3 linked regions of the Mus musculus genome follow. The protein of the gene in region 1 interacts with the protein of each later gene in a biochemical or structural test. Links are inferred from orthologs where the notes say so. Each region holds a gene or a part of one and is shown on either strand. Other genes may lie near its edges.

Region 1 (4,236 bases):
TTAAACTGTATATGTATAAAATGGCATTTCTTCAAGAATGACTGGGTGAGAATGGGGAGGGATGTTCAGAAGGAAAAGGAATTTGCTGCATGAGTCTGGTGACATAAATTTGCTTTCCAGCACCCATATAAATGTGCAAGCAGAGAAGAAAGTCCATGAAGTTGGCCCCTGATCTACACATGCACATTATGGCACACATATGCACATATTCACACTTGCAGCAGCCCCACACACAATAAAGAAAAATAATGCATGGACATATTGACAAGCTGTGTGGTTATACGGTTCCAGGTATTCAAGTCATAGAGAATTGTAAGTTCCATCATGACAAACACATCCCAAAAGTGCTTAGATATCTCTGTTATATCTCTGCATAAAACCAAGAACAAGGGATCTTAATGGATACTTTAGAACCATCTTTTCTTATGATAATAACTATTGTGGACTATCTCTTTCACCATTTTTCTACTTGTAATAAAGTCCCCTCTCCTGTCTCCTGAAAATGGAAGCAATTAAAATTAATTATGAAACCAGAAATACCCCAGGTTACCCCAGAAGTCTGAACTAATTCTAAGTGTTCCTTAATTTATGTCCTAGACATAAGTTACATTGTAATGTCAAATATATAACAATGACAGTATGAGAGATTTTATCAAGGTTACAAAATATCAAGAATGAAAGACAAATTCTAAAATTTCTTTTAGAATGAAATTGCAGATCCAAAAACTTAAAAATAAATGTTCTGAACTTAGAGAGCTGTGAAAATTGTCAACTAAATCTTATAAATGCTTTTCAAAATAATGTCTGTCCACAGATTTTTGCACTGGCATTGAAGCTGCAGAGGACATAGTAGCAAAAATCTACTCTCCTGCATGAAAGAAAATATTTCCAAAGCCAGAAGGAAAGAACTCTTACCACCTTCTTTAGTGCAAAGGCTGATAAGGTTATGAACTGTGTCCATGAGCTCCAGTTGTTGCTTCTGCAGGATGCTGTTGTTGTTGGTAGCTCTACTAAGTTGCTTCTCCAACTCCTGGATGATGAATGTCTGACGAGAAACCAAGCCTTGAAGGTTTTCTTTCTCCTCCTTCAAGGTGTCCAATTCTTCTTTGTGTTTTCCCTCCATTTCTAAGATTTTGTGCTCTAGTAAACTACAAGGAAATGAAAATAAGACATAATTCATACAGTGCTGGAGAGACAATACTGCAATTCTACTTGTTCCCAAGAGTAAGATTAGAAGCTTTAATTATTAAGTATATATGTCTGTGTGCATGTGTATATATGTACAGCTATGCACATGTGCTCAGACATGCCATGATGCATGCAGATTTCATACAATGACATATAGGAGTCAGTCCCTTCCTATCTCTATCTGAGGATAGAACTCAAATCATCAGACTTGGCATTAAAGGACCCTAAGCCCTGAGCAGTCCTGCTGGCTCATAAAAGTATTTCTTTTAAGAGACAAAAGTCTATGTAGTATTAGCCATTTGAAAAACACACATCAAAACTCCCCTGAGATTCTACTTCACCCTGGGCAGAATGTCATCATTAAGAGAATAGCAACAGAGCCCCGGAGCACTTACTGCTCTTCTGGAGGACTCAGGCTCTGTGCTCAGTAACCACATGGCATTTCAACCTGCAACTTCATTTCCAGAAGGCTGAATGCCTCTTCTAACTTCTATTGGCCCATGCATGCACATGGTGCATGTATACACATAATTAAACAATTACAACAATATCATCAAATGCTGACAAAATATGGACCAAATGAAATGCTTATATACATAAGAATCTACTAAGGCAGGTTCTTCACTATTTATTAACCAATTCTTAATAAATCTAGCCTGCATCATCACAACTCCTAGCTTTACATGTGACACCAGACTTCTGGATAAGAGCATCATGGGCTCTGAAATCACTATGCAGTTGTCTTGGGTAAGGAAGAACTCATTAGGTGAATATCATAGTCTTACAGGAAACATGGAGTACTTTGCCCAGAGTGACGCAACCTTACAAAGCTTCTCTCAACACTCTCTAAATGATACTTTCCTTGTATACTGTGCAGGAAAACCTACAAAACCGCAGAAGCCCTTTTGGATCAGAGGAACTGACTTAAAATAAAAAGCATTTTTTCACTTTATAGAGTGTCTAATATACTAGTATTCTTCAGGGAAAAGGCTTACGCAGTTTTCTTAGTTCTGTTTTCAGGCCATTCTAGCAGATCTTAGTTTACAAGGTGCTATTCCAATGCAGCACACCCAGAATGGGCACTTAATTTACCTTGGAGAAATATAGAGCTGAATCACTCCTATAAGTCTTCAAAAAGAAGACACTGGGGAGTATTTTAAATTTAATACTTAAATTATACAATCTAGTGTGTTTGAAGAGTCAAACTTTCCAACTGTTTGTGCTAAGGGGCAAGATGCAACATCTGATTGGCTTTTGCACAGATGAAGAAGTGTGGCAAGAAATGCTCAAGGGGATTCCAGGTCTCTGCTAACAAATTTGCTCTCCTAAGAAGAAGGTGGCCCAGGATATAGCAGAACAGCTGCTGGGAAGCTGGGTCTATGTGTGAGTCCTGCCTAACTCACAGAATTTTTGAGAGTGTGCCAAGATTGACAAATGAAATTTTCACATTGATACTTCGCCCCCCACCCCCCCCCAAAAAAAAACAAGCCATTTTTCTCTCTTGAGTTTCCTTTCTTTTACTCCATTGAGTTTCCTTTCTGTTACTCCATTGAGTTTCCTTTCTTTTACTCCATTGAGTTTCCTTTCTGTTACTCCATTGAGTTTCCTTTCTTTTACTCCATTGAGTTTCCTTTCTTTTACTCCATTGAGTTTCCTTTCTTTTACTCCATTGAGTTTCCTTTCTTTTACTCCATTGAGTTTCCTTTCTTTTACTCCATTGAGTTTCCTTTCTGTTACTCCATTGAGTTTCCTTTCTTTTACTCCATTGAGTTTCCTTTCTTTTACTCCATTGAGTTTCCTTTCTTTTACTCCATTGAGTTTCCTTTCTTTTAGTCCATTGAGTTTCCTTTCTTTTACTCCATTGAGTTTCCTTTCTTTTACTCCACGCCTGTACAGGAAGAATCCCTACCTTCTGCTGAGCATACAGGGAACTCAATTTGGAAAGTAAGTAGCTGAAATCCTGAGGGTCATTTCTATTTGTTTAAATCCCTGTTTAGGAGTGAAAAGGTTAGTCAAGTAAGTTGAGGGAGATGAAAGAAAATATTTCTAGGGGCTAAGATGATAAAGTGTCTTTTTTTCTGTGCCAGAGTTTGTTGCTGCTAGAGAAACTCATTGTTAAAAAACAAAAATAAGGTACAGAGAGGGGTGGAGGGACAAAGGCAGTCAATGTTTCTATTGTTCATAGTGGTTAAAAATGCCATCCACTTAGTAGTTAACTGGCAAGTTCACTGCTGTGGGTACAGAGGAGCCTTCCTCTCTGCTTGGAGATTTTTGGCTTTTGATCTGAGCGTTAACCACAACTGATACTTCAGCTCATTTTTAGCCTACTTTTTAGTTATGTTTGCTCCTATTTCTGGAATAGTGATCAGATACATGACTCCCACAATTTATAGTCATTAACTTATTAGGAAACTGTGCCTCAGACTCACATGAGTTACGGTATACCACCAGGAAACCTTTAGCATTAACTATTAAAATGAGGATCGTGTATATATAGCTCATGACTTGGAAGCTAAAGCGTCATATGATGTGGTACAAAAGCTCTAAATAAACAGTTATTTTCCACAAGCAAAATCAGAGCTGACCTTCCAGGTTTCCTAATTAGCAGGCGATATCAGATTCTAGTTATAAGTCATACTTATTAGTTGCTAAATGCCAATATTTATGCAGAATATAAGATGGTAGTATTTCTTCAGAAAAGATTTTCTTTATAGACAGTAATCCTCAGAGAAAAATTATGAGCAACAAGAAAATTGTTTCCAACATAATACATTTTTCATATTTTGCCTCAATATTTTTTCACTTTTGCTTTTGATGTGTCTGCACAGGACAGAATATACACTGGGGATGGCTGCTACAGAAGGTATCAGAAAAAGACACTGGTTGTTTTGTTTTGGTTTGTTTTTTTTTTTTTTTCAGTACAATTTGAAAAGATATGAAAACTAATAGTTGATCAAAGAAATTCCTACCCAAAAGAAGATAGTCATGAATACTGGGTTGTGGAAAAGAAGTCTTCCTTTGCAAAAAATAATATGCATTATCATATTG
Region 2 (4,756 bases), on another chromosome or scaffold:
CCAGATACTTTAACATAGTAATATGACTCTTTAGAGTTTTGAGACAGGGCCTCATATAGTTTATGATGAATTCACTGTTTTGTCAAAGATGACCTTGAACTCTTAATCCATTCCCAAAGTGTTGTTGTCATATGTTTGCACCACTCCTGGCTTCATAGTGTTTTTAAAACACCCATGGAGAGTCGGGTGTGAAGATCCACACGTCTAACCTCAGCATCTGGTGAATCAAGGCAGGAGGGCGGGTGGTTGCAGGCTGGCTATAATATCTAAGTTTCAGTTAGTAAGGGCTGCATAATGAAACACTGTCTTAAACACAAAACCAAAACCCATGAAGGAGATACTATTGCCATTTAAAAGTCTCTGGAATGGAAATAGCTATCATAATCTTACCTCTGAGCCAGTGTCTGCCCTCAGGTGTGCCTGAGGACTGAACAGGGCTATGCACTCCTCAGGTTGGAAACATTACTAGTCCTCAGTGTCTGCTCTTGACCTGTTAACAGCTGAGTCAGGGTCTGCCCTCAGCTGTGCCTGAGGACAGAGCTGAGCTATCTACCCCTGCAGATTGGAAGCATTACAGGCACTCAAGATCAGCCCTGAAGTGATAAAACCTAAGGCAGAAATCCACCAAGACTAGCAGTGCCTCCGTGTCTCTTCCTGTGGCTGGTGGGAAAGGGAGGGGCAGTCCTTCCTTGATGCAAGGTCGTGTGTCTAGTGGCATGCTTGCTTCATTCCCAGTGAGAGCAAGTGATCACCTGGGTAAGGAAGGTTCAGGTGCCTGAGCTTGCTGGAGAATTCATCACTCATCCATCACTCTGCTCCTGTAGACATAATCACTTCTGTTGGGTCTTTATAGAGATGATTTATAACTTTGTTGTTTATAGTTTTTATGAATGTGTGTATTCATTTAGGTCACATGGGAGGTGCACATTTTCAGGTGTCTGTCTTTCCATCACACGGGCTTTGAATTAAACTCAGTCTTGGTTTTACCGGCTGAGCCATCTCACCTGCCTGATTATTTAAAAATCTCCGGAGTAATCCAAGAGTGTGGTTTATGATTGTAGTATCAACACTCGGGAGGCTGAGGGAGCATCGTTATCATGAGCTCCAGGCTAGTTCCAGGCTTGCCTAAGCTGTAGAGCAAGTCACTCTCTTAAAAAGTGCCTCTCCCATATTTTTGTATATAATTTGCATCTGAAATTCTGTTTGCCAATAACTATGAAATTATTCACATTACTAAAATCTTCCTGTGCCAAGTTCTCCAACGAATTAGATCACACTCAGATGAAATGCTAATAAAAATTAAAGCTGTAGCCAGTAGCATGCGTATATTTGGGCTCAGGGCCAACAGGCAGGCGATCTGGGTGTAAGAAAATAGGCTAATGGCTGTGGAATCTGGTCTCTAGTGGCTCCGCTGAGAGCTGACCTCAACCACGCTCCCTCAAATTGATTGCCTTCCAGGTTATGATTTCTCATCACAGGAAACTTTGTTGCCCAATTCAAACCCTGTGAGTGAAAACAAAAACAGGAGAGCAAGTGCTGCTCCCCGTGCCCCAAAGCCCCTTCTGTCAGGGATCCCAAATGCACCCCAGAGAACAGCTTAGCCTGCAAGGGCTGGTCCTCATCGCATACCATACATAGGTGGAGGGCTTGTTATTCAATTCCTGGCCTATGAGAGGATACCCCTATTGTTCCTGAAAATGCTGACCAGGACCTTACTTGTAACAAAGATCCCTCTGCCCCACAATCCAGTTAAGGCAGGAGCAGGAGCCGGAGCAGGAGCAGAAGATAAGCCTTGGATGAAGGGCAAGATGGATAGGGCTCGCTCTGCCCCAAGCCCTGCTGATACCAAGTGCCTTTAAGATACAGCCTTTCCCATCCTAATCTGCAAAGGAAACAGGAAAAAGGAACTTAACCCTCCCTGTGCTCAGACAGAAATGAGACTGTTACCGCCTGCTTCTGTGGTGTTTCTCCTTGCCGCCAACTTGTAAACAAGAGCGAGTGGACCATGCGAGCGGGAAGTCGCAAAGTTGTGAGTTGTTGAAAGCTTCCCAGGGACTCATGCTCATCTGTGGACGCTGGATGGGGAGATCTGGGGAAGTATGGACTCTTTAGCCGGCTTAGTTCTCTGTGGAGTCAGCTTGCTCCTTTATGGTAAGTTTTGGCTTGATGTTTATTTGTGTGTGTGTGTCATGTTTTAACAACAGTGACTTCTCGCCATTCTCTCTCTCACCAAACCTTCGATTTGGTGACCCTGACACTGCTTTTCTGAGACTCTCCAGTTTACACATGGCAACGGTTTTGAAGTTCAGATTCCAGCGGCACCAGCTGGGTTTTCTAGCCATCTCTTGTAGACAGATGCTGCCTCCTGGGTTGCACGGTCTCTCCCAGGACTGAGTAAGTCACCTTATTTGAAGGGATCTGGTTTTTTTTTTTGTTTGTTTGTTTTTTGTTTTTTGTTTTGTTTTGTTTTTTTTTTTGGAGTATTCTTTCTTGCCTCTCATTCTGGTGTTTTCTTATCCATAACAACAAATTTGGGTTGTAATCACTTTAAAGAAAGACTTCAATGATTTTTTTTTTTTTTTTTGGTAGAAACAAAATTCTTACCTAGCCATGTACAAAAACGTCATTGTTAACTAAAAACAAGACCACTTTTCTGTAAAGATTGTGTATCTCCATGCTTTTTAATTTCAGTAGTCCAGTTAAGGGCTTTTCGTCTTTTAGGTAGGGGTCCAGGAGTTAGGGCTATGCCACTGACTTTAATTTTTTGATGTTTCACATAAAGATTAGCCCTAGCAAGCTAACTAAAATGTAGTCAATTACCAAGCTCACCGGATTCAGTATTTTGCCAAGTCCTGTAGTGGCACCTCTAGAGAGGGCAGCCAGGATGAGCTTGGGTTCTGTATGTGTATCACAGGCTCTACACAGTGGGGTGCCTTGTAACTCACTCAGCATAGGTAAACCATGCTAGGAGAAACATGGGGACCCAAACTGCAGATCACAGACACATTATCATTGCCATAGGATTCCCCGAATTGGTTTGGAAGTATTCTAATTATTATGATAAAAATGTAATTGACACAGGAGATGAATTTGGGAAAATTTATCAAACTTAATGGTGAGGCTATATATAGTATAGCATTTGATACAAAGAAATACTTTTGATGTTACTTTTATATTTTTCTATATGTTTAAATATTTTGTTAAGTATTCAAAAAAATTTAACCCAGTAAAGTATGATAATTGTGTGCAATTTCTCATGTAACTTTTCAATTTGATTTCAACAACCAACATATCAGAAATTTAATAATATTTAAGAGTAATGTAAATTGCTGAAAGAGTATCTAAGATGGTGCCAATTACTTATGTAGTAACTTACTTATAATTAACATAACAGCATAATATATTGCTGTAAATTTGGATTCGTCTTTATATTAATGTAGAGACAGGTTGATGTCTTTGTTACTATGTACTTTTAAATAATAATTATGGTTCCTCACTTTCATCTTGCTTTCCACAAGTCACACTGATCAGCGTTATAGAATATGGGACTGATTTTACACCAGAGACTATAATAATACAAAGTCCAAGTATCTAGTTCTGCTCTGACTTAGTTTTAAGTTAAATAAACTAATAGTATGTTCACATACGTATGTGCACGCACACATACACAGAACTATTTTAACTTAGTCTTTCTCCTTAAGTGACTTTTTTATGGCATTTTACAAATAAGTTTAGAAAAGTTGTCATGAATTCATACAAAAAAGTTCTGTTCCAAAACAGTTGTCTCACTGATGCTAGAAACTGATTTCTGGAGCGAAGATGACAAGAAGGAGGAGGTCATGTTCTTGTCAGAAAGTAGAACACAGAAAGCTTGGTTTCTGCTGAAGGTCTCTGTTAATTCCTGACTTTCATTCTGTACCCAAGCTTCCATGAACTTGAGTGAGGCTTGGTGATCACACAAACAGCCTCAGGAGTTCTTCCTTCAAGTCAGACTCTAATAGTGTACTTCATTAATGTGGAAGGGGATATAGAGCTTATATGTCTAGTCTACTTGGTGGCCTGATATTCCTTTTTTGTTGAACAAACATAATGGAAGAATAAAGACTCTGTATTTGCCTCAATAAAGGTTGCTCTGGGTAGCAAAGCAGCCTGCTAAGGCATAAACTGGAAGAGGTTTGTGGCTTCCATAACAACTCAGATTCTGGCGCTTGCTCCTTCCACTGGAGTATTATTGCCAATTTCAGCTTGCAAACAAGTTCTCATAGAACTTAGCAGTGTTACCCCCTCTTTAATTCCATATCTACACCAAACCTGGCTGCAGGCTCTAAAGAATTGTGTACACTTAAAAAAAAAAAAAACACCACTTCTGTTTCATCATGGATGTCCTATATGATTCACACTGATAGGAAGTCTTCAGGTCACACATCTTCAGCTGTCTTTCCTGTCTTGTGTGACATTTTAAACAACTGGATTCAGAGATAACAGAGATGTTGTCTGGGCTGGCAAAGGAAACGCAATAGTAAGGTCAGGAAAGTGGTCCCAGGAGCCTTCTCCTTGGACTGGGATCAGGACACCTCTTGGGATTGTTTTCCAAGGGAAGATCTGGCCTTCTACAGAAACTCTCCCTTCCAACCATTGCTCTTGTTAGCACTTCCCCCTTAGCCCTACCCTGAAAGAACTTCCAGGAAGAGTCTAATTTTTCTATGACATCTCTCCAGGAGGAAAGAAATTATCCAAGTCGATCTCAAAAGACTAT
Region 3 (4,696 bases), on another chromosome or scaffold:
GTAGTGGCTATTCCTGGTTGTCAACTTGACAATATTTGGAATGAACTACAATCCGGAATTGGAAGGCTCACCAGTGACCCTTATCTGGAGGCTTGGAGATCCTTATCTGGATCTTGGTTTGAAGATCTTGAGCCGTAGTGGCTATGGATTCCAGAAGATTGAATCTCCGAGTTAAGGAACACACCTTTAATCTGGGCTATGCCTTTCATCTGGGATTAAAGGTGTGGTGGAACACACCTTTAATCCGGGCTACACCTTTTGCTGGAGACAATATAAGGACATTGGAAGAAGGGAGTCTAGCTCTTGCTCTTGTTCCTTTGCCTGCTTGCTGCGTGAGACTGAGTAACTGCTAGATCCTTGGACTTCCATTCACAGCTGCGACTGAATCATTGTTGGGAATTGGGCTGCCAACTGTAAGTCATCAATAAATTCCTTTACTATCTAGAGACTGTCCGTAAGTTCTGTGACTCTAGAGAACCCTGACTAATACACCAAGTTTCCTGATTTAAAAGACGCTGAAGCAGTTCAGAAATTCTTCCTTGAAGAGACACAGCTTGGTGAAGGGTTATTAGCACAAGGTGACTACGAGAAGGGTGTGGACCACCTGACAAATGCCATTGCTGCCTCCGCAGCTGCTGCAAGTGTTCCAGCAGACTCTTCCACCACCAGTGTTCCAGATGCTCCTGACCAAGCTTCCGACCGTTAGTCAGAGAACTGTAAGTGCTCAGAGCCTGGCTGACAATGATCTGGAATGAACCAGATAACAACATAATAAAATCTCAGTAAAATAATTTAACAGTTAGCTTGGAAGCTGGTCAGCTCTGGGGAAATCAGGGTAAATTGTGCTGTCATGAACTGTCCCACACTGACATCGGCCAAAGTGAATATGAACTTTGGTAGATCCAATGCCTGTTCTATTTATTTTTCCAGTGAAAAGTATTTTGATAGAGCTTTTCATTTTGTAAATACACTGAGTTAACCAAAATATCATGGATTTCCGTTTGTTCTTAAGACATGCAACTCGTCTACGGCTATACCACTCTGAACGCGCCCGATCTCGGAAGACATGCAACTCAAATGTAAATACAGTAGAATATTACTTAGGTAGAAACTCCTGGTGATTTTAAAAGATTGGAAAAGAATATGAGGAAGAGTTGAATAATGCAAATTCTAGTGTGTGTGCTACCGAAGTGAACACTTAATGCACAGTCTACAGACTAGGACATTTTATCGTGTGTTGTAAAATTGGGTAGAAACTTGTGTTTGTGAAAACTGAGCATTAAAACCTTACAGAGACCGTTTCTTGTTTACTTTTGAAAAAAAAAAGAGTCACGTGAGCCTCATTTTGTATTTGTGTGTGTGTGTGTGTGTGTGTCTCCCCTCCTCCCAGCGTGTGTGTGCTGGGAGGAGGGGAGACCCCAGAACAATGTCCTGCCTCCAAACCTTCTCAATAGGCGGAAGCCACTGGCTTCCTCCCTTTCCTGTCTCCCGTGCTCCAGCAATGCAGATGGAAGGGACCGAAGGGATGGGAGAGAGAGCCCAACCATCCCCAGATCTGTCCTTGTCACAACCTGCCTCCCACCTCTAATGCCCCCCCTTCCAGAGACTTCCAGGCCACACCCATCCCGGGCTTGTGGGGGCTGGACACGGGAGGACTACAGGCGACAACTCTTCCCACCCTCTCTCCCTGCCACCCCTCCTACCCTAACCATCATTTCCTCTTCCTCCCCAGCACCGAGGTGCACTGAGCTGGACAGGCTGAACACTCAGACCCACAGCAACTGACCCCGGGCCCAGCTGGCCTTGGCTGGCCCAGGGCAGCTTCCAGAGTATGGTCTGGTGGGGATCCTCTTTGCTGCTCCCCACTCTTTTCTTGGCCTCTCATGTTGGTAAGTCTTCCCTGGAGTGAGCAGAGCTCCTCCCTGACTCTTGATTTCAAGGCCTTAATTCCAGCCCCCGACCCCCAAGAAACCCTAGCCTAGCCTAGCAATAGACCTCACAATATGGTGGTGAGCATGGGTTGGGGGAAGGGAAATAGAGAGTTATTGTTTAATGAGTGTAGCATTTCAGTTAGGGTGTGGTGGTGGACTTCTTTAATCCCAGCACTTGGAAGGCCAGCCTAGACTACACAGAGGACTCCATGTTAGCCCCATAAAGACTTATGGAGACCTTACGTCAAAAACAAAAACAAGAGCTGTGGAAATGGGTGGTGATGTTCACATGAGGTTATGAATGCATTTATTAACACTGAATTGACTGTTTACAAGTGGTTCTAACGGTAGATTCTAGGGTATGTGTATTTTAACACAACTTAAAAATTGCAGGGACAAGCAGAAACTGACATCATCATCATCATCGTCGTCGTCATAGCGTCATGACGATTTTGATCCACCAAGAATGAGGTCAGGGTGGGGAAAACTCAGGCAGGTGCTAGGAATCACTGCCTGGAGGGGGGAGAGGTGAGTAGGGGCAGAAGTCAGCCATCAACTTGGACCTCACGAGTAACTGTGTTGGGCTTAATCAATAATTCATTGGACAGACAAGCATGGTGGCTTTAACTCCAGTACTCAGGAGGCAAAAGCAGGTAGATCTCTGAGGTTCGAAGCCAGCCTGGTCTACATAGCAAGTCCCAGGACAGCCAGAACTACATAGAGAGACCCAGTCTCAAAATAATAACAATAATAATAATAATAAAATTTATTTAGCACCAATGATGTTCCATTAGTTGAGAATATGGCAACACCTAAACCTATCATATGACAACTAAATGATGCTGGGCTCCCAAAGGTTGATACGTTTGTTGTTTAAATGGAGCTGTGTGTACAGAGGGCATGGAGAAGCTTCTGAATGCTGGTGGCAGGTCCTTTCAGTCTGCTGACCAGAGAACTAGAAGTCAGAGGCTGCCTTTGAGTGGTTCTGTCTGGTGGGAAACACAGGCCAGGAATGAGGGCCAGACAGAAGCAGACATCAAGAGCTTTTGAGAAGCACTGAGAAGAGAGTCAGCTTACTCTGCCACAGGACCAGAAAAGTCATGAAGGGTTTCCCTAAGAGAGGTAGTCAACAGAGTAGCAAGTGCAAGCTTGGGAGGTATGGAAGCCCATAAGAAAAAACTGTAGGCCAGGCAGTGGTAGTGCACGCCTTTAATCCTAGCACTTGGGCAGCAAAGGCAGGCGGATTTCTGAGTTCAAGGCCAGCCTGGTCTACAGAGTGAGTTCCAGGACAGCCAAGGCTACACAGACAGGGCTATACAGAGAAACTCTGTCTCAAGAGAAAAAAAAAAGAAAAAAAAGAAAAAGAAAGAAAAGAAAAGAAAAGAAAAGAAAAGAAAGACGAGAAAAAGAAAAAAAGAAAAGAAAAAGAAAAACCTGCAGAAGTATGTGCCAGCAGACTGGAAGCTAAGGGAAGAGGAGCCTGGGCTTGGACAACCTGGCTCTGCTCCCTTCTAACTGTATGACCTTAGGCAAGTTTTGAGCTTTTGCTCCCTGGTTATAAAACCATCATCCTGGAAGAGGATAACACTCACCTCCCAGGACAGTGTGGTCCTGAAAGGACGAGAGCATCACTAAAGGGCCCCGGCACATAATTGACATCCAATAAACATTAATTATTATGACAGCAGGAACACAAGATGACTCTGAAGTTAGTGTCTCAGGTAATGGGTGTTATCCTTTGACTCAGAAAGCTTGGGAGAGGTGAGGGTGTAGCTTAGGAAACACAGATGCAAATGCATTGGGAGCTGAAAGGCCACACCAGAGCTACTGACTCAGGGGTGACAGTTAATGCCGAGGGAGTGGATGAATGTGCTCCGTAGTTATTACAGCAAAGGATGTCAACTTCACTGGAAGCCATGAGGATGCCAGGGAGAAAGGGCATTTGGTGCCCGCGAGGTGGCCAAGAGATGCCAGCTTCTTTGGCTTACGATAGACCGTCAAAAATATGCTAAGTGGCATTTAAATGAATTGATGACCTGACAGCTAACAGGCAGGGAAGGGCCAGGGAAGGAGGGGCCTTGGAAGGTCTGGGGTCACAGGTCTGAAGCAGGCTGATCACATTCTTCTCCTCGGTCTTGCCCACTTCAGGGTACAGATTTTACGCTCCAGTTGCACTAGCCCGGGGCAGCTCCCCTCCCCACACTACAACATTTCTCATACTTGAGCGTAGGGTGGCCTCTCCCTACGCCTGACCTTTCGTTCCTCCTCACCCAAGCACCTTCTAATGAAGTTTGTTATCTGCATCTTTTCCTGTCCCCTTTCCTTCCCCCGCCCCCCTGCTGGTTAGATGTTCCTCCCTCTGAGCCAACACCTCCATCTGGGAGGGATGCCTGTGTCTGGTCCTCCAGCTTCCCAAGGTAGGGCCCAGACCCACCTGTGTCTGTGTCTCTCTGGCCCTAACCGATCTTCAATCCCAGCCAGTCAAATAGTCCTCAATTAGTTAAGCAAGAAAGAGGGTGTGCGTCCTCATGACACTCCAGTCTCAGCGACTCTTCTAACCTGCACCTCCATGATGGGGCAGGGACAGGTGGCTCAGGGATAGCCTTGGTGGGAATGGTTCACACAGGAGTCAGGGCAATGACCTGACACGGACAGAGTAAGGGAAGGAGACAGAAGCGTAGCTCATTCCCTGTCTGGACCAGAGAAGGATGTGTGCTTTTGTTTATGTTTTAGGACGAAGAGGCTTGCAGGTAAAGAGCGAGCAC

Evidence for each region.
Region 2: the proteins of Angpt1 (region 1) and Tek form a complex in vitro, tested with the Homo sapiens proteins (6 studies listed by BioGRID and IntAct, with this or other methods). The link is inferred for Mus musculus from reciprocal best matches to the Homo sapiens genes ANGPT1 and TEK.
Region 3: the proteins of Angpt1 (region 1) and Tie1 interact in a biophysical measurement, tested with the Homo sapiens proteins (2 studies listed by BioGRID and IntAct, with this or other methods). The link is inferred for Mus musculus from reciprocal best matches to the Homo sapiens genes ANGPT1 and TIE1.

The regions. Positions count from the first base shown.
Region 1 is NC_000081.6:42,495,312-42,499,547, forward strand, and holds part of Angpt1 (angiopoietin-1 isoform 1 precursor), read right to left. Parts: intron 1,149-4,236; coding exon 916-1,148; intron 1-915. UniProt on the Homo sapiens protein: Binds and activates TEK/TIE2 receptor by inducing its dimerization and tyrosine phosphorylation.
Region 2 is NC_000070.6:94,737,542-94,742,297, forward strand, and holds the start of Tek (angiopoietin-1 receptor isoform 2 precursor), read left to right. Parts: upstream 1-1,747; 5' UTR 1,748-2,099; coding exon 2,100-2,151; intron 2,152-4,756. UniProt on the Homo sapiens protein: Tyrosine-protein kinase that acts as a cell-surface receptor for ANGPT1, ANGPT2 and ANGPT4 and regulates angiogenesis, endothelial cell survival, proliferation, migration, adhesion and cell spreading, reorganization of the actin cytoskeleton, but also maintenance of vascular quiescence.
Region 3 is NC_000070.6:118,486,841-118,491,536, reverse strand, and holds the start of Tie1 (tyrosine-protein kinase receptor Tie-1 precursor), read left to right. Parts: upstream 1-1,687; 5' UTR 1,688-1,831; coding exon 1,832-1,889; intron 1,890-4,696. UniProt on the Homo sapiens protein: Transmembrane tyrosine-protein kinase that may modulate TEK/TIE2 activity and contribute to the regulation of angiogenesis.